Linked DNA regions of Alligator mississippiensis. The protein of the gene in region 1 interacts with the protein of each later gene in a pairwise test. Links are inferred from orthologs where the notes say so. Each region holds a gene or a part of one and is shown in the gene's direction. Other genes may lie near its edges. The genes, in order: HMBOX1, AEBP2 and ABITRAM.

Region 1 (9,877 bases):
CCTACAGCCTAGGGAAGGACCTGCTGGGTGGCACAGAGGTGGAAAGGGATCTTGGAGTCCTAGTGGACTCCAAGATGAACATGAGCCGGCAGTGTGACGAAGCCATCAGAAAAGCCAATGGCACTTTATCGTGCATCAGCTGATGCATGACGAACAGGTCCAGGGAGGTGATACTTCCCCTCTATCGGGCGCTGGTCAGACCGCAGTTGGAGTACTGCGTGCAATTCTGGGCGCCGCAATTCAAGAGGGATGCGGATAACCTGGAGAGGGTCCAGAGAAGGGCCACTCGTATGGTCAAGGGCCTGCAGACCAAGCCCTACAAGGAGAGACTAGAGAAACTGGACCTTTTCAGCCTCCGCAAGAGAAGGCTGAGAGGCGACCTTGTGGCTGCCTATAAGTTCATCACGGGGGCACAGAAGGGAATTGGTGAGGATTTATTCACCAAGGCGCCCCTGGGGGTTACAAGAAACAATGGCCACAAGCTAGCAGAGAGCACATTTAGACTGGACATTAGGAAGAACTTCTTCACAGTTCGAGTGGCTAAGGTCTGGAACGGGCTCCCAAGGGAGGTGGTGCTCTCCCCTCCCCTGGGGGTCTTCAAGAGGAGGTTAGACGAGTATCTAGCTGGGGTCATCTAGACCCAGCACTCTTTCCTGCTTATGCAGGGGGTCGAACTCGATGATCTATTGAGGTCCCTTCCAACCCTAACATCTATGAATCTATGAATCAGGGTGGCACTTTATAGACTAACTCATTCAGAGAGGCATGAGCTTTCAGAGGCTACAGCTTAGCTCATCGGGTACTAATCCATTAATAGGTCACGGTTCTCTGAATGAGTTAGTCTATAAGGTGCCACCCTGCCCTGCTTTCTGCATAAGATATTAAAATACACTATAAAGGGAAGCATTCTCTGATGGTGAACTACTACCTACAAGTAGTGGGGTACTGTTATATCAGATTGAGGAATGAGAGGGGACACATGTAGATTAATCCTTTGCATAATGATTAAGCGTCAGTGGTTTTCAACCTATGGCTCGTGGACCCCTGGGGGGGGCCAAAGACGATATCTAAGGGGTCTGCGAAAGATGACAATCAAAAGTATGTGAATAACCACGCTTACAATTCAAAGGGGTCTGCAGCTCCATTCGAATTTTTTTAGGGGTCCCTAGATGAAAGAGGTTTAAAAACCACTGATCAATGTGTTACAAGTATATAATCAGATACCAACAATTTCCTTTAGAGGGTTCCTATATTTCTTTGGGTGCTGGGTATGACCATAAACTGCATCCAACTGGCAGGCTGGGTGCTAATGTTGCGGGGCTACTCATGGTGGGGTAACTCCAGTAAAATACCCCAATGTTGCAACCTCGAGGGTAAGGCAAGTATAGGGTGCCTCAAAACCCTAGCTTCAACTGCCTTGTGGGTACTCCTTGGCTGGAGAAAGGCTAAGGGAGATCACACTGACAAATGCACCCTCACTGAGGCACTAGGCAGTCAGCAACAGGTCTTATCTGTTGCTGTCTGGCAGAAACTACCGCCCTTGAGGCACTGAACATCTGAACTCGGTCTGGCCTTTGGATTCTGTCTCAACGGTCTAAAGTGGGGATGGCAGGCTTTGGGCAGCCCCCATACTCTCACTTAGGAATATGCATTGAAGGCCTTGGTGTGATGATCATAGACCTCTTACATGAATACAACATGATCCAGAGGATGGACAGTTGCCTATTATTATATTTCTCTGAAATTAAACTGGTAACTCTACTCCAGGCTCTGCCGTCAAAGGAGTGCGTGCACTGGATAAGCTCCTTAGGTTATGCAGGTATTTTTAAGAAGTACAGTAAAGGCCTCATTATCTGGCATGAGCAGAGAACAGGGGGTGCCAGAAATCTAAAAATACCGGTTACCTGAAGTACGGAGGTTGCTGGCCAGACGCAGAGCCGGGGCAGGTGGGGGTGGCGGCAGCCAGATGTGGAGTGGGGAGGTGGCAGCAGTTACATGTGGAGCAGCAACAGCAGCAGGGTTCAGCGCGGAGCAAAGCTCGGCACAGCAGAGCAATGGCAGTGCAGGGCAGCCCACGCGGAGCGGCCGTGGCAGCTGCCGTGTGCGAGCTTTCCCCTGCGTCCGGCCGGCCAGAAATTCCAGTTAACAGAGTATTCTGGCTAGTTAAATGTCAGATAGCAGAGATTTTACTGTACTGAGTGCCAACCTATGCCATCTACACCTTCCTCAGACAAAGGTACTCAACACCTGTGGAAGTCAGCCCAACCTTTCTTTGCCTGAGGAAAAGAAAAGCTACAGATTGTCCCTGTACGCTGGGACATGACAGTCCGAGCCGGAGGGAGGAAAACTTGGTAAAGTGGCTACAAAGAATGATAACTAAAATAATTGAAATGGAAGGCACCTTAAGAGGTCTTCTAAATGAATCCTCTGCTCAAAGCAGGATCCTCTAAACCAGTGACCCAAGGGGTGATTTCAAGGGGTGCCTTGAAATCCTATCGGGGGGGCACACAACACTAGCACTGTTAGGTGTACAAACATGATTCACATGATGAACCAGGGTGGACAAAAATCAATGATTTTTTTTAATTAAAAGTTGAATTTTTTTATTTAAATCAGATTTTTCTGATTGAATCATATCGATTTTTTTCTTACGATTTTTAAAAAATAAACCTACATAAAAATAGTTTAAACTTAAGATATGTTAGAGCTCAAAGATATCATCATGGAATAGGGATTATAACTTCTAATTATATACTATTTGAAACAATATATTCATGTAACCTTTTTAGAGAAGCTTTATAAATAGGTCAAAACAGGCCATAGACTATATTAGGGTCCAATCTTATGGGGTTCCCAAAGGATTCTCCAATGATTAGTAAGGATTAAAGAAAACTATTCTACCCAGTGGAACTCAGTGCTCAGTCTAGAAAATCCCATTAAGCATCTCTGTGATGTTTAGTTTCAGTTCTCAGACTGTGGATTTGTCTCTCCAGAGGTAACACCCCTGTTAACAGCAGTACACAGAGATGAGAGAGAACCGACCCAATTACCTACGGATCAGCCCTCTTGTCTCGGCAAGTTTGTGTATGCAGAGTCAAGCTTTTGCCCCACTCTAAAAGTGCAAAGTTTCAAAAAGTTAAATGAATAAAGGATTGTTGGGGGTGGAGTAGATCTGGGCAAGGAGGAAGAGTCTAGACATAATGCAAGGACGGGATGGCAATAGAAACAAAAGAAACATTTTTAGCAGAATATTCCAAAAGTCTTGAGGAATAAGTTTCTGAGTATAGCTTCTTCACTAATTTGAGATCTAGCGAGGGAATGATATGGTAGAAGGGAAAACCTATCATGGCAGCAGGCTGGCCAAGCCATAAAAGAGACCCAGGTTGGGAATATTTTAATGAAGGTTATATCAAACATCAAGAATGCACTTTTTGTAGAAAATAATGATTAAAATTGAGGGTTCTTGATTTAAAACAACTGTATTTAAATCAAAACCACCCTCTGATGAACCTAGAAATTTCAAATAGGAATCCTTGGGTTAAACACATTTAGATCTGTTATGATCTTTCTGAGTTCTTTGCATCAAAAAACCCGCTCTATGATTTTTCCATAGTTAAAAATGTGTGAACAACAAAACTGCCATTTACAGAATGACATCATAGGTCCAATTGCCCAGGCTCTTGTGTCATGGGGCAGCAGAGAGCAGATGCTGAAAGGGAGAGTGAACAAGGCATGATAAGGGATTTTTCCCACTCTTCCTCTCACTTGCAGCCTCCAGGCATTTTCTGAGGGGTGCCCCATGTCTAACAAGGTTGAGAATCAACCTCTAAAATTGTCTAACATGCATTTAAAAAAAAAACCAAAAAAACCCCACTTTCCAGCACCAGAGGTTTTGCAGCCTTTTCAGGTCACCTCTTCCAGTGCTCAACCAGCCTCGCAGTTAGAAAGTTCTTCCTAACATCTAACCTATATCTCCTGTGTTGCACGTCAGAGGCCATTACTTCTTGTCCTGTAAACAAAGACAACAGTTGATGGCCGTCTGCTTTACGACAGCCCTGGGCATATCTGAACAGAGTTATCTACTGCAAAAGAAGAGCGGTTACAAAGAGGAGGGCGATCAGGACTGGGTTATCTGACTAGACAGTGTTATATCAGAGCTTTCCTCCCCATAAGTTTCTCTAGTGCCCTGTAAACTCAGGTGGAAATCGATGCTCAGCTGCTCCCAGCACTGAGCAGAGACGCTCACCAACCTGCCGTGCCCTCCGCAGCCCCAGCTCCCTGCCCAAGATGCACCTCCAACACTTCCCTCCTAAACTGCCCCCCCAGACCCAAGATGCCCCTACATCATCCCCCCAAACTGCCCCCAGCGCCACCCCAGATGAAATGCCCCTCCACTGCCACCCAAGAACTTCACCCAGTGTCAAACCGGTCCCAAGATACCCCTCCACCACCCCCAAAAACTGCCCCCAGTGCCACCCCAGCCCCAAGATGCCCCTCTACTATCCCCCAAAATTGCCCCCAGGGCCACCCCAACAAACTACTTCAGTGCCACCCCAGCCTCAAGATACCCTTCCACCATCCCCCAAAACCACCCCAGCCTCCAAACACCCCTTTCCCTCAAAAAACCACCCGAGCCCCAAAATACCCCTCCACCATCCCCCCAAACCACCCCAGTGCCACCCCAGCCCCCATATACCCCTCCCCCAAAACGGCCACGCTCCTCCCCCGCCCCCCCGGTGCACACAAGCCTGTTTGGGGCCTTAATACAGGCATGAACCCCCAGCCTAGGCCCCTCCTGTGCCTCAGTTTCCCCATGTGCAGGACGGGGCCCTCCAGCAAGGTGGGGAGGGGGAGCAGGGGCCAAGGCTGAGGCTCCCCAGGACACAGGAGGGGGAAGGACAAGAGAGCCCCCCCCCGGCCTGCACCGCCCCACTCACCAGCTTCATGCTGCCGGCCTCTTCCCCCCTGCCCCTTCCTGCCCTGCCTCTTCCCCCTCCCAGCGCGCGGGGCACGCTGGGACCTGTAGTCCCTCCCCGCCTCCTCAGCCGGCGGATGAGGTCATGCCCGGGAGGCATGCCGGGAGCTGTAGTCGGCCGGCCGCGCTCCCTGATTGGCGGGCCGCGGGGCACGCCGGGAGTTGCAGTCCGCGGGCCGCCCGCCGTCCGCCGCCCTGGGGAGCGGCGAACTACAAGTCCCAGGGCCGCGGCGCGGCGGCAGGTGGGCGCTCGGATGTTGATATCAACATGGCGCTCGTCAGGCAGACAAAGACGGTCCGTCTGGGGTGAGCCCTGAAAGGGGGTGTGAGGGGGAGGGAGGGGTTGCCTGTGTATCCTCCTCACTTCGTATTTCGGGGGGGCTGAGGGGGTGGCACCCCTTCACTGTATGTGGTGGGGATCCCCTCGTGTGTCTGGGGTTGGGGGTCGCAACCCTTCACTCTGCGTGCGTGTGTGTGTATGTGTGTGTGTGTGTGTGTGTGTGCGTGCGTGTGTGCGGGGGGGGGTCTGTGTGTGTCTCCTTGTTACTTTGTAAATTTTTTTTTGGGGGGGGGGGCTGGGGGGTGAAGCCCCTACGTGGTTGTGTCTGGGGCTTGGGGTGTGAGGAAAGGTTGGGGGGGCAAATCCCTTCATGGGTCTGGGATTGGGGGGGTGGGGGTTAAATCCCTTCTTGGGTTTGGGACTTGGGAGGGGGGGGTTAAATCCCTTTGTGGGTCTGGGATGGGGGGGGTTAAATGCCTTCGTGGGTCTGGGAATTGGGGGGGCAGGGGTTAAATCCCTTCGTGGGTCTGGGCCTGGGGGGGGGGGGCGTTAAATCCCTTCATGGGTTTGGGACTTGTGCGGGGCGTTTAAATGCCATCATGGGTTTGGGACTGGGGGGGGGGGGTTAAATCCCTTCATGGGTTTGGGACTTGTGGGGGGCGTTTAAATGCCATCATGGGTTTGGGACTGGGGGGGGGGGTTTAAATCCCTTCATGGGTTTGGGACTTGTGGGGGGGGGGTTAAGTCCCTTTGTGGGTCTGGGACATGGGGTGTGAGGAGAGGCTGGGGCGGGTGGTGAAATCCCTTCCTGGCGCGTGTCCGGGATGCTGGGTGTGAGGAGAGGCTGGAGGGGTGAAATCCCTTCCTGTGTCCGGGACTTCGGGTGTGAGGAGAGGTGGCGGGGGGTGAAATCACTTCACGTGCCCGGGACGTGGGGTGTAGGGCAAGGCTGGTGCGCGTCCGGGATGCTGGGTGTGAGGAGAAACGGGGGGGCAGCGTCCCCTCGTATTTCAGGGGGAGGTTGGGGCTGGGAAGAGGGTGAAACTCCCTCCTTCTCTATGTCCAGGTTGGAGAGGGGTGAGGGGGGCAGCGTCTGCCTTCGTACGCTCATGACTTTGTTTTTCAGGGGGAGACTGGGGCTGGGAGAAGGAGAAATCCCTTCCCCACATGTGGAGCATGAGGAGACATTGGGCGGAGGGTGGGGGGATGTTTGCCTTCATATCCTCATGACTTGGTATTTTAGGGAGAGGCTGGGGCTTGGGAAATCTCTTCTCCCTGCACATCTGGGATGTGTGGGGCCCTGAAACTGCCCTAGGGAAGAGTGGCTGCTGCTGCTGGGGGCGGTGGGAGGGAGGAAAATGCCGCATGGCTGCTCTTTTTTTTTTTTTTTTTTTCTTTTTTTATCCTGGCCCTATGCTTTTTTGGCTTTGCCGCGGAGTTAGAATAATACCGGCTGGGAGTCGCGTCTTCCTTCAGGAACTGCGAAACGCAGGAGCCCGGCAGAGCTTTTTGCCCCCTCTGTGTTGGCCGGTGGGTTTATTGGTGGGAAGTGGCAGTTAGAAGTGTCGCTGAATCCATCTGCAGGGCATTTCTTTGGAAACAGTTTCTGCAGCAGCTCCGTTTCTCTCTGGCTTCTGGCCCTTTGGCGGTGGGTGATGCTTTCCCCAACCCCCTTCACATGGGGGAGGGGGAGGATGCCTTTTTTTGGCGGGGGGAAGCTTGCTTGTGCGGGGGTGATATTTCCAAGTCGCTGAAGTCGGGTATATTTTGGTTGCTTCTGGAGTTTTTTGTGGCATCGAGGGAAGTGCAAAATCTATACCAACTGAAAGCTGTGGGTTTTAACCTGGGGAAGGAAGTGTTAAACTGATGGGCAGAGTCGTGATGTGAGAACAGCGAGTCTGATGGGCACTGGCCGAGTGCCCCAGAGGCCAGAGGGGATAGTGGAGAAGGACCCAGTGAAAGGGATGACATTTGCATGGTTTGACACCCCAGAAAATAAAATTGTCATATAAACGGTTTGTGCTAAGCAGACAACTTTTGGGCTTGCAAAATCCTGGAGTGGCTGTCTGGGTCCTGTGATATAGCTAACTCATTTCTGCAGGGCTCATCAGGTGCAAGAGCCTCTCTCTGCTTCCTTCCTCGGATGGTGCAGCTGGCATCTGATTTCCTCCATAGATGGGAGAGGAGGAGCCCAGTGCAGTTTTTTTTTTTTTTGTTTTTTTTTTCCCCCCTGAGATGATTGCATTTTCTTTGGCCTTGCCGTACCCTGCCTCATTAGTAGGAACTGCCTTTCTCTTTATTTATCTAACATTAGGCCAGGCTCACAGGGATGCTGGTGAGAGGGGAGTGGGTGTATGTGGATATATAACTCTGAAGACTTTTCTTTAGTCGCTGTAAGATCATGCTGGGGTATGGTCCTGCAACAGCAGACCGTAAACTTTGTTTATTTGTGTGCGTCTTGACTCTCCTTCTGCTCTTTCAGCTCCAAATCCTTAAGGAGAAGGTAGGGAGGCAGAAGGTGTGTGGGGTGGGGAGAGGGCAGAAGGTGTGTGGGGTGGGGAGCAGTACATTACATGTACTGATATTTTGAACTTTTTTAGCTTCAGGCAGATTTATATTTCTGGTTGTGAAAATTATCTGCTGTCTCTGTGTCCTCAGAGCTCTGGGTTCTCTGAGGTGGGACAATTCTGCTCAAACTAAAGTGAAATGCTTGCATCTGGGGATGCCGTGTCCCCTTCTGACACACAAGTTCTTCGTCTTTAACCCTGAGTCAGGCACAGCTTTCTGTACAGACAGAATTGTCTAGCGGGCTGAGCATGGGATCAGGAACAAGGACGTGGTGTTTAACTCTGCTGTGCCTGTTCTCTTAATCTTCCTCCCATTCTGTTAGCACTGTTGCTAGCAGTCAGCCATCAGCATTTTTAATCCTGTGTCATCTACCTCCGTTCAGAGCAGGTCTAGACGACATTGTAGCATGTGGGCTGCCAGGCATTCTTCCTGGGCATGAAACTGCAATGTTGCCAGAGAATTGGTGGGAAATTCTCAGAAAATCCTAGGTAGCTGAGACATTCCTCTTTCTCCCACTAATTTTGGCAAGTTGCTTCAGTCTTGAAAGCATATTCCGTTGTACAAGCACAACTATAATAGTTTGTGCCTACATGGCCACCTGGTAACGAGCTCCCGTTGTGCTAGATGCTCTGCAGAGTGGACATGGACCCTTCCTGCTCAGAGAAGTTTACCCTATGCCTGTTTCCATGTCTGTCATGCAAGGATTTCTTCTGCTCTCCTTCAGAGAGGTGGGGCCAGCAAATGTCTGAGCAGTGCTTGGAAAATGAAATCCCAAGTGTTCCCTGATGCACTCATTTTGTCATGATAATGAAGTGGCATATGCGTAAGTTCAGGGAGGAGTTTGAATTGTTCTCTGCCTTTGTTTCGGGAGCTAAGGAAACCCTGGGACTAAAGAAATTCAAGTTTCTGTAGTGAAATGCACTTGTTCTGCTAACACTTTAGCCAGTGTGTGCCTTATGCAGTCTGGACCTTCAGTGTGCAGTTCTGGGGAGTGGGGAAGACTCTAGATAAGTGTGTGTGGTGGGAGCTGGGGGAATGAATATTATTCTGATGCAAGAAACAGTTTAACTTAAAGCATGCTGATGCCTCCCTTCCATAAACAGGGATTTTTGAAGATTGCCTTTTATGCTAACAGCTACTGGTTGCATGAGAGATTCCTGAGTGTAGTCCTTTCTGTGCAGCGCTCATAGGGTTTTGAATGCAGGATCAGAGCAGTTTATGGGCATGTTCTTCACCTTCAGGGAACTTCAGGATTTGGAGTCAATCAGGTTAAAAAATGCTGTCAGCGTAAAAATCTTATTGCAGCAGAACAGATAACTTTACCTGTCTTACAGATAACTTAATGCAGTTTGTTTGTTGTCTGGGCTGCTCCCAGCTGGGATGCTTTTATAGTCAGTGCAGTCAATGTCACTTTACATTGATTTTAATGCAGCTTCACGCTGGCTCTGGTAACCACCTACAACTCCTTGTGGGATTGGGCCTTTAGTTTATACATGTCCTGATGGTATTACCTTGTGTGTTCACATAAGTGTCATATTACTGACAAGGTTTTTGGTTGATTTTTGTGGGGGGGGGGGGGAGAGGGTCTTTTAAACTATATGCCTCTTAAGTTGATTTGGTAATGGAGTATTCAGTCAAGAGCTGGAAACTGTAATTCATTGCCCCTGTATAAACGAGTGCAGTAACCCAGGAGATATCAAGACTAGGCACTGTGTTATGCACCTAGTTAGAGACCTGAAAAATGATAGTAAAAGGCCTTGATTCTGCAAAGAAAGTTTATTTTCTACCAATGGGGACTTTTTACCACCTTTAATTTTCCCTGAGCCTGAGGAAGGGTGTGTGTGCCCAAAAGCTTGCAGAAAAAAGATATTTTTTTTGCAATTTTTTAGTTGGTTTAATATGTGGTATCATCTCTGAATCAAGAGGTCTAGAGTTTTTGCATTTCTTTTTGATTCTGCAAATGCTGATATACACGTTTAACTTTGAGAAATGCAAGTGGTCTTATTGAAATCAATGGGATTCCTCACGTGCTTGAAGTTACTGCAGGTAAAGTG
Region 2 (9,790 bases), on another chromosome or scaffold:
TCCCATTAGTTCAAGTGGGAAATTCCACACACTCGCTAGATAATCTGTTCCAATACTTAACCATTCTCCTATTTAGGAAGTTCCTCCTACCGTCTAATCTAAATCTCTCTTTTTGCAATTTGAGCCCATTACTACTTGTCCTGTCCTCAGCAAACATAGAGAATACTGGATCACCATCTTCTTTACAGCTACCCTTTTTCTAGCTGCATACTTACTGGGCTTCTGTTCTCTAGACTAAATAATCCTAGTTCTACCAGACTGCTTTCAAGAACTTGATTGTGTTGCTGATATGGATGCACCTGACAACTGGAGTAGTTTCACCAGCAATGTCCACTGAGATGGCACATGCACTCTGGGTATCCACCTGCCCCAGTGCCAAGAGCAAAGAGTGGCACAATTCCTTTACACCCTCTGCGGCTATCAGACAGAACTCTAAGGCACCTACATCTCCATTCAATTTTACAGAAATCTTTGGAAATAGTTGAACATATTGACTCTGGTTTGCAATAGTTTCACCCAGGATACCTTGCTCATCGATCAGATTTTGGTAGTTTACCTACTTTACTAAGTGGTTTTCCTTTTTATATCTTGTGGGGGATTGCTTCCAGGTACCATACTTTAGGGACATTTTATCTTAAGTTGTCCATCTTAAACATTTTATCACCTGTGATGGGGCAATATCAATTAATGGGCACATTAAAAAGCTTTTTTTATCGGGGGGGGGGTATGTAATATATCACCCCCATCCCCATCCCCTGCCAAAAAACCCACACACTGCTCCATGTGTAAGTCCTAAAGGACTCAGTTTAAGGTGTGCCTTTTGCCTTCATTTTTTATAAGATCACTCTATACAATGCCCTCAGGTGTGACATGCTCCACCTGAGTCCAGAGGTGCTTCCTTCAAGTACTAGGTCCAACAAGATCAGACAAAGCCACCTGGCTACATGTCCTCTATTCCTGGATGATGTATTTGATCCAATCCATACTTTTTCCTGGATGGCTTCAAGCACTTTAATTTCAGTATCTGTTCAGATGTATAATCTGATCTCTTCAAATACTGGTGGGTTAGATCCAAGAAGGCTATTGTCATTCTTCACGACTCCATACCTGGATGTTTGATTTCACCTGTCAGTGAAGACCTTTTAGAGTTGGCAAAATGTATTTAGTACTTGGCAAATACCAACCACAGTAATACCAAGCTCTAAAAAGGCAGATACAAAGTACCAGGCAGCATTTGTCAGTTTTATTCAGCACCTGTCTTGTTAGTGAATCTCACAGCTGATTAAAGGAGTAGGTAGCAACAGACAAAGATGACTCCCAGAGGAAAAGAATCTTAGTAGCTCAATTTATTAGGATGTTAGTGTTACACCTCTGCCAATGCAGTTCTGGATTGCTATTTATCAACCATTCCTGGCAGAATATGTCTTTCTTGCAAAACTCCCACAGAAAAGCAGAGAGGAGTTAAATATATAACTTGTGTGAGAGAAATCGGATCCCTTCAGGAAGCTCTACATGGTTCTGATATTGCCTCATTTCAGAGTGATGCCCATCATCCAGACTCCAAAGTTTGGGTGTTTCCCCAAGAGGTGCAGTGGTGCATTTTCTCTTCCAGGGCCTAGACTGGTTTAGTGCAAAAACTCTATTTCCACGTTATCCCGACCTGTTATTTCTAAAAGGTTTCTGACCCCTGCTTTAGCAAATAGGGGTTCTACTTCTAGTAGGATATAATAAATGGGTCTTTTCTGCCAATCTGACCTTTTCTGAAGTTCAAGGAAGTTGGGTACTCATGGTCACAGCCCACTGCCCTATAATATTAAATGCTTCCTTTCATAAGAGCAAGAAGTGCCATAGTGGGTCCAACCAGTGGCCCATCTAGCCCAGTATCCTGCCTCTGACAGAGGCAGAAGTGGATGCCATATAAAGAGAGCATCAAACCAGGTATCTCTAGGGTGATATATCCCCTATGCAATATCCTCTCTGGCATCTAACATTTATGGGCTAGAGATGCCAGAGGTAACATCTCCAACCATTCTGTACAATAGCCATTAATTGAACTATCATCCATGAATTCATCCAGTCCCTTTTTGAACCTGACTATGCTATCTGCGCCTCCACCACCTCCTACCGCAACTACACGTTATATAAAAAATTACTTTTTCTTCATGTTTATATACTGATTTGTATGAGAAAGTAAGAAAGACCAGAAGCTTTTACTCTAAGCTAGTGATTCTCAGAGTGCAAGGGCTGAGAAGTGAAGTGATGTAGGAGATAAGAAAATAAAGGCAGGCTCAGGCTCTCCCTGACTGGCCATTCCTCCACCACCAGGCCCTATGTGCAAGGAGGTATGCACTGTAATAAACAAATGAGTTATTTAAAATGGGGTATGGCTCAATTTAGAAATGTAATGGAGGGTCCCATGAGTCTACAAAGGTAAGAACCACTGCTCTAGGCAAGGATAATCACTAGGAAACTACAACCACCTTAGAGCCTCCTGGAAACAAAAGTGAAAAAAAAAAAAGGAAACAGTCATCGTTTGCTACATCCTCATCCCATATTGCAACTATAAAAAATAATTATTTGGATTGTTTAGACTACACTTTATACCCATTTATTCCACCAATTAGGGAACTGCCATCTCCACTGGACATTAATGTGGTACTTACAGACTTAATGAGCTTCCTATTTGAATGCCTGACATCCTGTTTCTTGTTCATTTATCTATGAAGACATCCTTTTGAGCTGCAATGACATCAGTCAAAATAAGGGGGGAAATGCAGGCTCTCACAGCTGGCTTTTCTTATGCAACACTGCAGAAGGATAAGGTCTGAGTAGGTACTCACATGCCTACAGTAATCACAGATTTTCCTTTGAGCCACATGATTCTTTAATTCATATTTCCCCCTAAACCTATATTGAGCAGGGGGTAGCTAGGCCACATACTTTAAATAGTTTTGGGGAAACTCTGAAAAAAAATGGTTCTTTACAGATGAAAGGATAAGGTTTTGAGACTATTAATAACATTTGCTGACTGAATGAAAGGTTAAGTAATACCAGCCCACAGTATACCCAAATACGTACTAGAATCCATTAGGCCCTGTGATGAGCTACCTACTTTAGATCTACCTGCTCAGCTCAAGGTTTGCTTCACCAGGGCTGAGGCAGCTTCAGTAGCTCCCATCCAAAGCATACTCATTTGAGACATCTGCAGGGCAGCTGCTCAGGCTTCATACAATACTTGAAATAAGCCTCAAGATACAAGTGCCTTTACTGCAATATCTGCTTAAGTAGTTTCTCTACATACCGTCTTGTATTAGATTCCTGCTTGTGACATCCCAAAAGTGGAATATATAGGGACACCAGCTCAAAGGAATAACAAAATTAACTTATCCCATTGTAAATGGAATCCTTTGAGATGTGTTTTTGTGTATTCTATAGCCTGCCCTCCTCATTCCTTGCTACTGTTGGTACTGCAATGGTGAAGAAACTGAGTGTTGTTTGGGCCTGCACTACTCTTTATTTGCAATTGGTGGGATCAGAAGGAAACTCAGGAAATGTACACGTCCTCAAGGAAGGCTGCAGGCCAAAGGATTGTGCTCTTGAACTCCTGGGGCACCAAAAGTAAACTGCATAGACAGCACATCTCAAGGAAATCCAGGTACTTAACCTTTCATTCCCCATTCGTTCCTGTTTGCTTCCTTAGAATAGATGTTAGAAGCAATTTTTTATGTAAGTACACTAAGTAATTCTGATTTATCATGACCTAGCATCCACCCTTTTCTGTTCCGTTCCTGGATCACAATCCATGGATCGGCTAAAGTGTTGAAGGTAGGGAAGCACGGCTCTAAAGTGGCACTATAGCCACCTTTATCTATAGCTATTGGCCACTGCAGTATGACAACTGGCTCATTTTTTTTAACCCTAACTCAGAACTGAGCAATAAAAATCAGTTGCATACCAGTAAAAAAAATCTGCATTGCATCTTTTTCTCCGTAAAGAGAAAAAGGAAGCATATAACAAGTACTTTATCTCATAGCAAGGGCATAAGTTTTTTAATGTCCGCTCTGATAGAGTTGGCCATTTGAAGATGTGTGTGTTAACAAGAATAATGCAAAGGCTGCAACTTTCTTATTCCCAAACCTTGTTTTCAGGCATACTTCATACTTTCCCACCAACTCCATATTCTAGCAATGAAGAACGTGGTCTCAGCCTGGGCCAAATGTTTTTTCAAAAGCCAAACATGCCATTTATAGCCCTCTAAATTTGCTTACATGGTTCTCTAGGGGGAAGATGTAGTTGGTTTGTTTTCAGATTTGATATCCCTTTTTTTCAGCATATTGACTGTCTTGGTGTTTCCTGTTTTGATGTTGCTATGGTATGATGTTACTGCTAATGGATCCATGGGCAATTGCTGGGGTGAGTTCATCTCCGTGTGTTGGGACTGTCTCAGGCCCAGGCCAAGTAACTTTCGATTGGGGGTTTGGGATCCTTCCAGGCAGGACAGAAACAACCAGGAGTTGCTAGAATGGGAGGTTCTGCTGATTTTTCTCTCATGGCCTGATATTTTTCTGTCAGGGGAGTGGTGTCTGGTCCTGGGCCTTGCATTTAGCATTTTTATTGTATGGCACACTGTGTGGGACGAAGCATGTTAGCATTGGCGGCCTTGGTGACCCAGGCAAGGAACCAACAGGCCCAACAGTTCTCAACCATTTCCGCACAAGACACCCTCTCTAGGCTCAGGGCGTCCCTCGGCAACGCAACGCGGGCTTGCAGCTTTCATTCCTTTCCTGATTGCAGAAACACAGGAGAGTGATACTTCTGTGGCAAAGAACTGAGAGAGGCCACAACCGAGCAGCCTCGCCCTGTGGTGCCTGGCTAGGCTGTCCCAGGTGCCACAGGGCGAGGTGTGCACACACAGGCTTTGGAAGGATTTCACGCAGGGGAACCCCAGCACTGAGAGAGGCCATGAGGGAGCTGCCTGCACTTAACACTTTGTTTTTTAAGGAAAAATGTTCATGTTCCAAGCCAAATCGATTCCAAATCCGCGAGTCATTCCAGAATCAAACGTGGCACTGCTCCACCCCTGCCTGGGGCTTCAGATGCTTCTCAATCCTTTGATGGGCATCCTCTGTGCAGGCCTGGCAGCTTGGGGTTCAGGTGCCCCCGAGTTCCCCTTGCCCTCGGGGGCATGGCTGCAGGAGCACGTGCAGGAGGAGTCGGCATGTAGCCAAGATCTGCCCGCTGGATTATCTCCATCAGGATACTACCCCCTGCCAAGAAAGTGGTTTTCCCCTACAACTAGGAAAACCACCTTCATGGTTATGGTATTCCCCTGCCAGGTAAGTACCGGGGGGCTTCCCCGTGTGAAAGCCTCGCCCTGTGGCACCCCGTGGCACATGGGACAGGCACCCCAGGGTGAGGCTGCTGCGCTGGCCACCACGGCTGCTCCACAGGCGCAGGGGGCACCACGTGAGTAGCCCAGGGGCACTGGGCGAGTCCACAACAGGAGCCGCGCAACTTCCCTCCCGTGTGTGCGCAATGCAGCGCTCCATCTACTTCTGCCCCCTCCCCTTTCGCACTTGGAACAGCCCGTCCTATGCAGAAGCCTCGTTCTCGCTTCCCCTCCTCCGCGGGCGCCAGGCGCTGCCCCCCCCCCCTCCTCCAACGGCTCTATTTTGTCCCCGGGCGCGCTCCGTAGCGCGTGCGGCGGCCCCTCCCTCTGCGGCTGCCCGGCGCGGCGGTAGCAGGAGGACAGGCGCACACGCACGCACGTACACGGGCGGGGACACGCACGCACGCACGGCGGCTCGGAGGCGCCATGGCGGCTGCTCGCAGCGACATGGCGGAGCTGGAGGGGCCGCTGCCCGGCCAGGCGGCTGAGGAGGAGGCTGGAGCGGAGGCCGGCGGCGGGGCTGGAGTCGGGGCGGGCCCGCGGGCGGTGCTGCTGCTGCTGGGCGGCGAGGCGGAGAGCATGTCGGAGCGCAGCCCGGGCAGCGCGAGCCAGGCGGGCGACGAGGAGGAAGAGGACGAGGAGGAGGAGGGCGGCGAGGAGGAGGAGAGGAGTAGCCTGGCGGGTAGCAGCAGCGGCTGCTGCAGCGACGAGACGCGCTCGCTCAGCCCCGGCGGCAGCAGCGAGGCGGACGCCAAGGATGAGCCCAAGGGCCCGCGGGGTGGGCAGGCAGCAGGGCCGGGCCGCGGCGGCGCGGGGGGCTGCGGGGCCGGCGGCAGCAGCAGCAGTAGTAGTAGCAGTAGTAGCAGCAGCGTGTCGAGCGGCGCGGACGAGGGCTACGGCACGGGTGGCGGCGGCAGCAGCAGCTGCAGTGCCACGTCGGGTGGCCGCCGCGGCAGCCTGGAGATGTCGTCGGACGGGGAGCCGCTCAGCCGCATGGACTCGGAGGACAGGTGGGTTCAACGGAGGGACCGCCCTGCCCGTCAGCCACAGGTTCCACCTTCCCCCCCCCCCCCCCCCCCCCCCCCCCGATCGGCCACCGAGAGAAGGGGCCGGGCAGCTCTGCTGTTGCAAACACCTCGGTTCGTGGCGTTTGTAAGGCTGCCGAGTTCCACTACACCCCTCTGGTGGGGTTCGTGTCTGCTCACCTAAGGGCCGGGTGTATGCTGTGCGGCACCCTAGAAAGGGTCCGCAGGCACCCTGGGGTACTTCATGTTGTCCCATTGTGTTCTCCCCCATACACAGGGTTGAGAATTGCCAGGAGAAGTGTAAAAGTCATTTGTCCCTTCAGCTTCTGGGGGACGAAGAGCCTCCTGCATATGATTTTGTCACTGGCTGGGTTTCGTGACCCTGAACAGGACAGTTACTGATTTATACAGGTGTAAAAATCTACTTGGTCCTAAAGGTTGTGCTTCTCCCCCCCCCCCCCAAAAGGGTTGGACAGATTGGGTTGGGTTTGGGGCTTCTCAGCCTCTTGTAGGCTAGGATCAAGTGTAGTGAATCTTGAAATGCAGCCCCCTGGATTTATTTACTTATTTATGTTTTGGAAGCCCTTCAGTCTGGTACCTACAGGAGGCTTTTGTAAGCATAGCTTAATAGAAGGTGGATACTTGCATTGTAAAGTTTCATAGTTTTTCCGGGGTGCTGTTGTTTTGTTTTGTTTATTTGTTTTAAGTTAACCTGTCTCTGAAGTTGTACTTCCCATTGCAGTACAGCTAGTGTGTTGTAATAGTCTAAGGTGAAATGTTAAACGTTAAACTGAGTTTATTTTGATGCGTTCTGTCAGTTTCAGTATAAATGTCTAGGTCCTACAGAGAGGAAGTAGCAACCTGGCTGTAACACTTCTCTTAGAGAATTTTAATGTACTTGCTCTAACACATGCTGCCTTCCATTACATGGGAAAACCTTTCCACATATTTTTTTCTCACTAAAAAGTATGTAGGCAGTTTTGTTCCTTCTTATTATTTCCCCCCCTTAACTCTAGTGTGGGTTAAGAATACATGTAGCTGTTACCTTTAGAAAACCATTCCTCAATTTTATATCTGGCTATATAATATGTATACAATTGGATCTATTCAGAAAAATAATTGAGTTCCATACACTATAAAAGTTCTTATCCATTTATATGAAGTTTTCTAAATGAGCAATTAATTTCATGTGTAATGTAGAGTTTACTTTAACCACTGTCTGTGTAATCTAAACTGGTAAAGTACACAACCTATATAGGGATTTTTTCATAGTTGGGTTCTAAGATTTATTTGAAAATATAGTAAAGCTGTGTTTTTCACTACTCTGAATTTGTTAGGGTTTTCTGGGATGTTAAAATTGCAGATGTGTAGGAGGCTTCAATGCGCAACCCCAAGTGTTCATGAGCTGTGTAACAAGTGCCCCCAAACAGATTTTTAAATCAAGTGACTTGATCTAAAAATCATTACACTTTTATAGAGAGAGAGAAGAGATATTTTATTATTATTATTATTATTATTTCTTTCTTTGGGTTCAACTTTTATGTTGGTCAGATTATCAACCTTTTCTCTGCAACCCTAAGGCTTAGAAACATTTTTTTTTTAAGTGAAAGATGAGACTTTATGAAATCCTGTGTCTTTAAGAGAGAGTCTCTCTGCTAGATGTGCCATAAACTTGTGAAGATTGGCAGTTGCAAGTACGCATTTTTTCTTCTCATCTAAATCAGATCATATATTCGGGTGGCTTAGTCCTTGAAATATTAGACTAGAAGAGGGGAGCTCGCTAACCTGTGGGGCTCAACCCAAAAAAGTAGTTGGGTTAGGATAGGAGAGCAATAGAAAAAAATGGCAGAGTTTCTCTTAAACAATTTACCTATTATCTGGTGGGACTTGTGGGAACCCCAACTTTCTCGCTATTTCTTTTTGTGTGTGTCTGTTTTCATGTTCTGAGATGGCCGTGCATCTAAATCTGTGCATGCAGTTTTCTGCACCCACTCATAGCACCCTTGTTGCTTTTTTTCAGATTCAGTCACAGGAGTAGGGGCCCCAGAGACAAGGTGTGGCAGGGGCTGTTCTGTTCTGTGATGCCTGTGAAGTGCTCTACAGAAAGTACACTTTCCCCAACACAGCATAACTTCTGTTTTGGTTTTGGTTTCCTCTGGATTTTTGGGTTGGTAGTAGTAGTTTTTGTAATTAGAGTGCTCTTTTACCATTTATTCTTGGTAAAAGTTGCAAAATGTGTTTTTTGTATCCGTGCCTTACCACAGCATGTGCTCACTTCCAGATTATATTATTATTAAAGTGAAATCTACATGGGGTTTCACCTTTTCTTTTCAATAATTGCAACTCCAGCAGATGTAGCATTTTGCTTATTAAATGGTGTTTCACAAAGAGAAGCATGTTATGCTTTGCTCAGGGATTGAGTTAGTACTAAAGGTTAAGGCTTTCACCCATGAATCGCTAAATGGGTTGAATTCTGGTTGTTTTGGAGATAACATCTTACATAGTATGATTTAGAGAGAGAGGGACTGAACTGGGGTGCCCAAATTAACAGCCCTTAAGTTAAGGAGAAGTGGCTAAATGGAAGGGCATTCTTGATGAGGCATAGTCTGTCATGCTTTCTGTAAGTAGGTTTGGTAATGCTCAGATCATGCTCTGAGTGGCGTTCCCTCCCCTGCCCCCTGCTTTCCTTTTGGAGAACTAATGAAAAGAAGGATGTGGTGGGACAGAGTAGGCTGGTGTTGGAGTTCTTAGTCCTGACATTCATTAGTATTGATCACAATTACAAAAAGTACCAAAATAGTGAATTTATTTACTATAGATAGAGGATGAAAAATCTAAAATTTTGAATATTTGGCGCTCTTGTATTTAACTGAATCTTTCTTGCAGAAGCAGTATGTGCCTAAATTATTAAATAGGTGACTCACCTGTTTCTTCCAACACTAACATTTTTATGGATCTTGACAAAATCACAGATTAGAAAAGAACAGCAGATCCTGGGTGTATTAAGTGTTGTGAAAATTACTCTGTAGAATGCAGGCACTTTGAAACAGGCTAACTATGGCTCAAAATGTGTTTTGTTATTTTTTTAATTTTTTTTTAATATTTATTTCTAGGAATAGAGAGTTCCCTGAATGTACTTTTGAGGTCCTACTGCATTTCTTCCTCCCCCCTCCACCCCCCCCCAAAAAAGAAGGCATTAATAACTTATTACCTAAAAGAATTGGTCTCACTTCAAGATTATTTTTTTGATGGTTGACTCTCTGTTTTTCATTGCCACTAATTTTGAGAGGGTACATACTTGCTGATCTCAATTGTCAAATAGCTAAACTGATACCCTTCTCAAAGAATGTATAGACAGCTAGAAAGTAATTGCTTA
Region 3 (10,041 bases), on another chromosome or scaffold:
TTTTTTTACTGAAATGATTTGCTGGTATAAACAAGTAAAGCAGTTGTTGTGCTATACAATGCAAAAAGTTGTCTTCTTTACAATATATAATTTTTTTTTTTTAAATCGATGAGAATTTTAAAATGGAGAAAATGAGTGTAAAAGGTGCATTGTGAGGATAGCTCAGAGATTAATTTGCTAGATAGAATGTTAGTATCTTATCTAGTTCTATGATATAGCCACAGAAATCTGTAATTGTTATGTATATGAAACTGAAAATGGTTTAGAGTTGAAGAATGGCAGGGAACACATTTTTGGAGGCTTGGGCAAAATAAGCAGTTATGCATATGGTTTAATTTAAAATAGTCTTAGTGTTGCAGGGTGTAACCTGGTTTAAGTTAAAATTTTAAACTTGCCATTAACAAAGGAACTCCATATATTGGAGAGAGGTAGTTAGCTGTGTTAGTCTGAGGGTCTTGTTATATGCTAATAGTGGGAAGCTCCTGGAGCTCATAATCCCTAGAATGTCTGCATATTAACACTCTAGGGCAGGATTATTTCTGATCCGTGCTACCCAGCTCACTTTACACTAAGATGCAGCTACACTAGGCTACAACTTGGTGTAAAGAGCCCACCTGCCCCACTTCCCTGCTGGCTTGGATTAGGCCCCCTGCCCTCCCCAGCACCCCAGATCCTCTCTTACTGCCCCCACTTACTTGTGGCTGCTTGTGCTGTCTGTCCTGGGGGAGGAGGCAGGGAAGAGTAAACCTACCTGCCTGCTGCTGCTGCTCTCTGCAACAGGAGTAGCCCTGCAACAGGAGTAGCTGGACAGGCAGGTTAATCGTTTCCTGCCTGCTTCTCTGGGACAGACATTGCAGGTAGTCACAACTAAGTAATGCCCTGAGGACGAGGAGGTGGCAGGGGGACACCCTGAGCTGTGGGGTGGGGAGAACAGGGGGAAGCCCTTGGGGATCAGGGGGGAAGCCTGGAATGGGAGTGGGGGAGATTCTTACCTTTCAGTTCTCCAGGTCCCTGCTTGCTGTTCCTAACTCGAGCTAGTACTGACACGAATCAACACTTGTGCAGCTCCCAGCATAAGGTGTAACAAGACCCTGACATTACGCAGAAGTCTATAAGGTGCCACCCTATCCTGCCTACCTGGTTCAGAAGCATGAGCTTTTATAGGTGGCAGCCTACTTCATCAGATAATGTAACCTGCAAAAGCTCAAGCTTCTTTCAACGAGTCCAGTATAGGCAAAAGGTAGGGCAGGGTAGCACTTTATAGACTTTTTTATTCTAGAGCAGTGGTTCCCCACCTTTAGACTCCAGGTGTCCCTCCAACTTTTGTGAACTGAGTGACACTTCATTTCTAAAACTTTTATTTTGGTGCCTACCTTCCTGTTAGGGATGTGAATGGTTAAATGATTAATCATTTAACCAATCAGCCAGTGATAACTGGTTCTAGCTAACTGGTCATGTTTTAACCTGAGGCTGGGTACAGTCTGGGGGGAAGAGGCGGAATGGAACCAGCAGGCTGCGGGGCAGGAGGGAGGGGGAGAGGAGCCAGGAGGGGAGGGGTGTGGTGATTAATACCTAGGCTCTGTGACCCTGGTGCAGCCACTTGCAGCCTCCCTGCTGCCTGCCATGAGCAGACCAGGTTCCAGGCAGGCTGCCAGAGCACAGGCTGCAAATGGGTTTACAGAGCCTAGCTATTGGGTATTAGTGACACCTCCCCCTCCCACCTGTTCTGCTGCAGCTGGGCCCAAGGAAGCTATGTGCTGGTGGCTGCAGTGGGCTGGTAAAGCCCTTCTCTGACTACTGCTGCCTGTGGCTTCCTAGGCTGTGCTCTGGCCCCCAACTCCCTGTGCCACTCGGCAGGTAGATGCAAACCCTCCTCCAAGGAAGAGTGGGACAGGCACCAGCCTGCAGCTCAGCACCCCTTAGTCTGACTTTGCAGAGCTGTGGGCTGGAGCCCAGTGTCACTATGCCTGTCCCCCATGCAGTGCCTTCTGCTGCTACAGCTGCTGCAGGTATGACAAGGACAAGATTGAGGTAAGCAGGTGCAGGGTGACTCCCCTGGGCCTCTGGCCCAGCCCCATGGCATGCCCCACCTGCCCCATCCATGCCCAAACTTGGGCTCAGAAAGGACCCACCAGCCTAGTTTGTTGTGGGGGCATTGCTGAGTTTATCACACCTGGTGGGGGCTGGAAGCCCCCCACTGGTGCTGGGTTTGGCAGGGGTGCCCTACAGGCCAGGCTGGAGGTTACCATAGTGAGTAAACCTGTTGTAATTGCAACAGGTTAAACGGATAGTTTTAAAATCAGTATTTACATCCCTACTTCCTGTACAGGGCCCAGGCAGTAGGAGGTGTGAGGAGGAGTGAGCCTCCATCTTCTCATACTGTTACTTATGCTATAGGTAACCTTGTGGGTAGGCTACTAATGAGAGACAGAAACAGGTCTACAGCCCAACTTTTTATCGGCTTTCACCTTAAAACATGAGAACAAACATTTATCTCAAAGTCTATCTGGCTACCCACAACAGCACAATGCTGATTCTCACCTATACCAACTGGGGAGATCTGAGAGTGGGGGGGGACACACAGATTGGTGGCAGGTCTTCTTGAATTCGCAGTTCTCCAAATTTCCCTCCAGCCCATGCCTAATACTTATAAATGGCTGGTTTTAAATGACCCCTGATTAGTTTTATTTAAATGTCCTTTTTTCACTGAAACTTTTGGAACTGGGCTGAACCAGATTTTTTATGGGCTTGGAAGGTGGCAATTTTTTGGGATTTATATCTTTGGGAAAGATGGAGGGTTTCTTATCACCTTTCCTTCTCCATTGTGGAATGCTGTTTCTTCTTTACCTTCCTTTATGCTCTTCTCTGAAAGGCTGTTTTTGTTTTTACAGATTATCTAAGCATCTTAACAGAAATATATCTATTACAGGAAAATAACATCTCATACACTTGGTTACATCAATCACTGTTGCTACAACTTTAAGATAAAGCTATGATGTAGCATATATGGATTATTAAATATATGGTCTTCTCTTACCTCCTTTTAGGCTCTGTAATTTGTTTAACTGTACTTGATGATTTCCTTTACTTCCTGACCAAGTTAGTTGTAACATGTGCAAAGGTTCACACTGCAGTTACTCAAAAGCATGTTTGGGGCCTTCTGCTTAGCAGCACTTCTGCAGCTTAGCCTAGGCCGCTTGAAAATGGCCAAGGCTAACAATAGTAGCCGGGACTGGGCTGTGTGTGTCAGAGAAGGGGCAGTGACCAGCCAGGCTGTGTGCGCTTAGCCCTTCACATCCACATCATCTGTAAGGATCTTTGCTCTAAACTGCTGTTAACACTCTATTGCAACTTCCTGACTTTTTCAACAAAGTGGCAGTGAACTACTTAGAGAACTGGAAATAAAATGGTAGTCTTGAAACTAAAATAAGAACAGTCACTGATGCGCCAAATCACTTAAGTTAACTGAGGAAGGAGGTTAAATATAGGAGAAACTCAAGTCTGACAACCAGGGGAAGTTTAAAAAAAACCAGTAACCTAACAATTTTCAGTTTCAAATCAGGTGGACAAAGCACTAGGAAATTTCATTTGCAAGGGAGATAGAATAGTCATGAGTACAGATGAGCTTTTCTCTCATTTTGTATCTAAATAAATTCATCAGTCAGTATTTCTTTAATCCGAACATGACTGAACAAAACTTACTCCTGTTTCAAATCGCCAGCCAGGGCAGAATTCTGAGCAAATGGATTCACTTGGATTCTGAGCAAATATCAGCTTTGGCTGGAATGGTATTTTGGATCATGGTAGATCAGTCTGTAAGAACTGCCATATTGAATTAGATCAGTGAAGCTCTGCTCTGGATCTTAGTCTTCAAAAACTTGTGGATGCATTTTTAGCTGCTCCATTGAAAATCATAGCAGAAGCTAAGTTATTCAGATTCTGTGGGAGTTGTACCTCTCTGCTAAAAACTCAAAGATTTAAACTGCAACTGTTGTGATCTGTAATCTTAGATTATTAAGAATGTGTGACTTTTTTTAAATACAGGAAAAATGATGGCCCATACTCACCAAAGGATAATTCTAAATATTGGCACCTTCAGCCATTTGACTCCTATTATTTCATTCACCTTGACATCTAAAGGAGAGCCCATTTCCAGTTGAAGAGCAAGGCTAATATGATATTAAAACATGCCACTCTCCAATTTACTCATCTAATCCAATGCAACAATAATTTTCGAATAAGTTTATTACTGTACACAAATCAAGGTTTTCATATGTACCCATCACAGGTTTTCTTTTTAGCTCTTAATGAAATAAGGACAGATGTTTCTTCTTGCTGTTCTGATTCTTTAAAGTTCTGTATTCTTGAAAGCTATACCAATGAATTTTCACTAATAATATAGAATACTAAAATACACAATACCCTGATAGTTTAGTATGTTAAAATAGGGGTTCTCAACCAAGGCCCTTGGCCATTATGTGTGGTAGGCTTAGAAAACCACCAGATGGCAGCTTCACTGGCTCCCTGTGCAGCTGTCTCCCAGATTAAAAGGTGACACTACAGGGAGCTGAGACTCCACACCCTATTAACTCAGATAATGAAATGAAAGGGAAGGTAGAATTTAAATCTATCACCCTCAAGAGAAGAATAGCATAGCTAGCAGGCAAGGGGTGGGGTGCAGAAGAAAACCAATGAGAGCTGATGCTGTTGTACCTTTATGAATATACAAGGAAGGGTGGGAAAACTGGAGAAGATGCAGAGATTGTGGTGTGGTACAACCAGCCAGCTGCTTTGATGCTGCAATGGTTTGCACTGTATTGCTCTGGGGTCAGTCTACCTCTGGAACTGCAAGGACTCTCACTGTTTCAAGGGAGCTCTGTCTGCTAGACACCATTTAGGGCCATATGAAAAGTGCAAAATGACACAATAGTCATTAGCATGTTCTAAGAATGATTGCCTCTAAGCCCCCCCTTGCCCAAAGGAAATGACCAATAGCTGTAAATAAATATTCTTGATTTAAAAGGAAACATCACTGTACCAGATCTGCATAACCTTTGCATTTCACATTCAATCTTTGACGCTAATGGGTAGGAGCTTACTACCATGCCCAGGCAAAATTCTTTTTATGCTGTAGGCTGCTTTTTCCTTCTCAGTCAGCCAGCCAGTGTGTGATGAATAGTTACACCCAGGATATCTCTGAGGGGTTTTATTCAAAGAAGTACAGGAGAAACCAAAGTAAGTTCCTCCAAACTATACGCTGGTTTGTTGGGGCATTATCAATTGGGCAACATTACCAACAGCAACTAAAAACAGCCGAGAACAGGTAGACATAGGCCTTGTGATTCGAGGCAAGTTGCAGACTCCCACCTCTCTGCTTTTGTGTGGGGGTTTTATCCCTTCAGGTTCAGATTTCTGTATTCCTGGCCATTCAAACTGTCCTAACCATCTTTTGGCAGATTGAGAAGGAGCAGGGAAACTGAGTCATTATCTGTGACCATTGGTTTTTCCTAGGGTTGCCTTAATAGCATTGGGTGTCAGAGGTAGGGGCCCGAGGGCCCTAGCCCCCCTTGGGAAGAGGGCTCAGCTGAAATGCCAACAATTTTCCACATATCCGTCACCTTAGCACCCCCAAATAAAAACTGGCGCCTACATAGTACGTTGGTTGTGACCCCAGGCCTGTGCCTCTCCTCTCTGTCGAAACTGTCCCCCACCATCCGCTTCTCACACTGCGATTCAGACTGAACCGCTCCTGGCGCCGGTGTCTGGGCGAGGCCTCCAGCACGGCAGAAAGCAGCGGGGGGGCGGGCCCGGGCTCCCAGCAATGTGCACATCTCTTGGGAAAAGCCACTGCATCACCTGGCAACACGCGTGAGCCCGGGCGCAGAGCTGCAGGTCCCCGGGGCCCGCCCCCTGTGCTCGTGCTGCTCTGGACCGGCGCCGGAAGCCGGCGAGCGCCTCAGCAGCAGTAGCAGCGGCACTTCCGCCTCTAACCCCGCCAGCCAATCAGAGGCTTCCGGTCCGCTTGCGTCAGTCCGCAGATGCGCCGGGCGGTGCGCGCATTGCTTGGCCCTGATTGGCTCCCTGTTCCTGAGGGGGGCGGGACGGCCATGGCTGCGGCTCCGGGCGTGACGGAGCGGTATTTCACGCGCTGGTACAAGACAGGTGGGTGCCCCCTCTCCCTCCTTTCTTCCCCCCCTCCTGGGCCTCGGGGTTGTTGCTGCGCCCGGGGGGTGCTGCGCGCGGCCTGGCCGGGTTTGGGGGGCCGGAGCGCGCCCGCCCGCTCACGAGGCCCGTGTCGCTGTTTCTTGCAGACGTGGGGCAGCCCCGCGAGGACTACTGCATCCTGCAGCACTCCAACAGGTGAGCACAGCCCCGCCCTGCACACGGCACGTGTATCGCACGCCACGCAATACATGTACAGCGGTCGCAGACGAAGTCATGACCCAAAGTGGGTGACCGGCGCAATAAATGCACGCCTGCCGCTTGTGCCAAGTCATTATCGCACAACAATACCATGTCATAAACGTAGACCAGCTGCATGGGCAAAGCCGTCATCGCACAACAAGTGGGTGAACCGCAGTTAATGGGCGAACTGCGTCAGAAACATAGAGCGGCTGCACGCACGAGTAAAGGCATTATTGTGCAACGCGCGGGTGACCCAGGCAATAAATGCACACCAACCACAGGTGCCAAGCCACTATCATGTTGTTTATGGGTGAATTGCAATTAATGGTTCATCTGTGCAGTAGATGTAGACTGGCCACGATGACGCAGTCAGTGGGGGGATTGTGCAGTAAGCACAGAGCGGCTGCACAGGCAAAGTTGTCATTGCACAATACAATGGGCTTTCCAGCTCAGCAAAGGCCCAGGTGGCTCTCGCGTGAGTGCTGGAGCACACGCGGCAGCTCCAGAGCTGGTTTCTGTTCGGCACAAGTCGGAGCAGGCCGCAGGGCAGGTACAGCCCCCACTTCACCAGCATGTGGGATGGGGAAGCAGAACAGTCTGTGTCCCTGAGTGCTGCTCAAGCTGTTCCCAGCGCTCCTGTCTGGTGTCCATAACAGGTCACAGTGACTGGTCCCATGTAGACAGTGGCATGGGAAGCACTAGGAAACACTGGGGTTCTTGTGTTTTGTTGACATTGTGAGTGGCGATTGGCATGAGACAGGTGAAGGTGCTCAACCTTTTAGTGCCACAGGCAAATGAGTGGCACTGGGATAGTCTGTGAGCCAGGTTGGGCCCTGGGGCCTGGCACTGCATTATCTCTGCCCCACACACCAAGAGTGGGCCTGAGGGGCCTGGCAACACCTCTTACTGCCCCTGATGCACCAGGTTGGGATCCTTGTGCTGCCCCTTCCCAGCCTCCCCCATGTGCCGGGATTGGTTCCCAGTGACACAACACTGTCCCCTCCCAGACCCCGCCACCAGGATTGGGCCCAGGGGTCCTACAGTGCCCTCTCCTGGCCTGGCATGCTGGGATTGAGCACCCATCAGAGCTGTCTCTAGGGGTGTGCTGCGCCTTGGGTATACCAGCCTGTTTGGGGCTGGGGGGTGGCGAGCGGCTGTAGCACACGACGGGGTGGAGGCGAGCAGCTGCAGCTGGTGGGGGAGGGGGCATGGTGAGCGGCTGCAGCGCAGAGTTGGTGACGCACAGCAGGGCCTGTACAGCACTGTCCACGTCCCCCAAAACATGAGGCCTGGGGTGGTTGCCCTGATTCACCCCCTGCTAGGGATGGCTTTGGTGCCCATCCAGCAGGTAGGGCTTGGGGGCTTCCCTTGGATCCAGAGATTTGGCATCAGGGGAGCAGGGCCACCACTCCCTTGTTGCCAAATTTCCAGACTCCTGGGGAGTCCTGCAGGCTGGATGGCACTGTGGCAGAAGCCGGATCTAGGGCTTGAGCACCCCTGGGTTAAGGAGGTAAATCACTTTGTTACGTAAGTCTCATTTTGAAACTCTGCCTTTGAATAAGTAAGTGCCTCCTGTAACTATCAGTATTGAACAGATCGCTTCCCACTTTGATGTGTAATTTTGCTTTGGCAGTAGCATTCACTCACTCAGCAGCTCTGTATGCTTATCCGGATTTGTTTCTGTATAATCTAGCAGCTAAAGGCCAGGCCCACTCTGGGGCTTAGTTATTACAGGGCTTGGTTTCACAGCACCTAGCTTTTGAGTGCCAGGCCTCGCGGCTGCAGACTGGTACTAGGCACAACACCTAGGGGGGGTTGGGGGAAATTCACAGCATCCATTGTGCCAAATGGGACGCAGCAGAAGTAAGTCAGCAGGAGATACTGACAACAGATGTGTTACTTGAATCCCACCGGTCTCTGGGGCATAAGCACTTCATCACTACCAGGAGCTAACCCTCTCCACTTAGCCTGTACAGCTTGAGCCTCCTCGTAGAAGGAGGAGCCTAGATCCTTGTTTGGCCTTTGAAAGAAAGGATTACATTTTTATATCTTTTTAAAATGTCTGGAGGACAATATGCCTATTCCTTTTCTATGCAGTTGCACAGTGGTTAGAGCACTTATGATGTGGGAGACCCTGGTTCAAATCCCTCTTCCGCCTGAGAGGATTCAAACCCTCACTTCCCACTTCTCACAAGAATACCCTAATCTTCATGGCATAGACTGTTCTGTGTGTGGATACTCTTGCTCTGGTGTTGAAGTTGTGCCACTGTTCTGAAAAGGGTCCAAGATGGTTGGACCAGAGCAAGTGTGGGCCTTATTCTATAGCCTAGTGGTTAAAGCCTTTACCTGGGAAAGAAGAACCCTCATCCCACTTCCTGTTCTAAGGACTCTCCATATTTATTCAAGGTGGAACAGCTTCAGTAGGAGCAGTGAATATGCTCCATACCCCAAAATAATTTATACCCTGGTGGTTACCGTGCTCTTTGGGGAGGCAGGAGATGTGGGGTTGAATCTTGTCAGTGAGAAGAGGGGATTTAACTCAAGTCTTCCACACCCAGGGTTAGGCACTCTGAACACTGTACTTTTGAATAAAAAAGGGGCTGCTGCTATATCACTTCCTTCTGCGTTTTCAATGGAAGCAGTGGCTGCTACTGGATTTTCTGTGGAGTGCAATTCACTAGGCATGAGGTAGGCATTCTTGGAGCATACGTAACAATAACACTTTTGGGCACAGTTGACAGAGAAACACCTAGTTTATGGATCCCAGCAGGTCTTCAGTATGAGAGAAGTGCTGGGCTGCTCTGCTCTGTCCAGACTTTAGTCCCATATAGACTAAGGAGTAGATGGCAGCTGAGCAGAGGTTTTGCAGATTTAAATTTTAGACTTAGGCACCTAAAACAGGATCAAGCCTTTTTTTAGGTCTAGCCATACATTTTCATCTGTTAATCTTGCATTCCTCTTAGATGGGACAAAAGTGGATCAGACTGAATTTGCATTCTCAACACTAAGTTTTAGCTTTCAAGGGGTTGCACAGGTATCACTGAAAACCTTCTTTGGTCTGCAGAGCCAGTCCTACTATCAGTTATGCATAAGAAGGAAAGGGAGGCTCACTCGAGTTTCAGAATCAAGGTTTGCAGGGTTGCTAGTTCATTATAAAGCATACCTTTTTTTTTTTTTTTTAAATATAGATATCCCAGAAATATCACAGTGTTCTAGCAACTATTTATTTAGCAGCTTAAACAGACGAAAAAGGCTGTAGTGAAACTTCTGAAATACTTTCCAATTTTTCAATATGAATTGAGAAGCTGTATAATCCCTGGGACACAAGTAACTCCATATGAAGACCTATAAGTGATGCCTATCAGCACATGAAAATAAATACTACATACAGAAAAATAGGAAACCAGTAGCATTTTCAGAAAAAAAACACATTTCTGGTGTACTACTATGCCAGTTCTGGTTATGATGAGAAGTATTTAAGTTAATGTATACTAAGTGAAAAATGAGTCCTGCAAAGGTGCGATGATACTGTGTGTGGCCTGCTTTGTTTGAGGCTAGCTAGGTTGTGTCTTTTTTTTTTTCCTTGGGGGTTTTTTGTTTGTTTGTTTGCACTGCCACTTTTCAAGCATTAGAAAA

What was found.
Region 2: the proteins of HMBOX1 (region 1) and AEBP2 interact in binary tests that used the Homo sapiens proteins (3 or more experiments, as listed by UniProt). The two-hybrid records come from large-scale screens. The link is inferred for Alligator mississippiensis from reciprocal best matches to the Homo sapiens genes HMBOX1 and AEBP2.
Region 3: the proteins of HMBOX1 (region 1) and ABITRAM interact in binary tests that used the Homo sapiens proteins (3 or more experiments, as listed by UniProt). The two-hybrid records come from large-scale screens. The link is inferred for Alligator mississippiensis from reciprocal best matches to the Homo sapiens genes HMBOX1 and ABITRAM.

Annotation. Positions count from the first base shown.
Region 1 is NC_081824.1:6,032,882-6,042,758, forward strand, and holds the start of HMBOX1 (homeobox-containing protein 1), read left to right. Parts: upstream 1-5,210; 5' UTR 5,211-5,229; coding exon 5,230-5,270; coding exon of another isoform or gene 5,271-5,281; intron 5,282-9,877. Other genes in the region: INTS9 (integrator complex subunit 9), read right to left, coding at 4,938-4,946. UniProt on the Homo sapiens protein: Binds directly to 5'-TTAGGG-3' repeats in telomeric DNA. Associates with the telomerase complex at sites of active telomere processing and positively regulates telomere elongation.
Region 2 is NC_081827.1:123,054,235-123,064,024, forward strand, and holds the start of AEBP2 (zinc finger protein AEBP2), read left to right. Parts: upstream 1-5,730; 5' UTR 5,731-5,815; coding exon 5,816-6,399; intron 6,400-9,790. UniProt on the Homo sapiens protein: Acts as an accessory subunit for the core Polycomb repressive complex 2 (PRC2), which mediates histone H3K27 (H3K27me3) trimethylation on chromatin leading to transcriptional repression of the affected target gene.
Region 3 is NC_081826.1:145,411,431-145,421,471, reverse strand, and holds the start of ABITRAM (protein Abitram), read left to right. Parts: upstream 1-6,056; 5' UTR 6,057-6,107; coding exon 6,108-6,162; intron 6,163-6,311; coding exon 6,312-6,360; intron 6,361-10,041. UniProt on the Homo sapiens protein: Actin-binding protein that regulates actin polymerization, filopodia dynamics and increases the branching of proximal dendrites of developing neurons.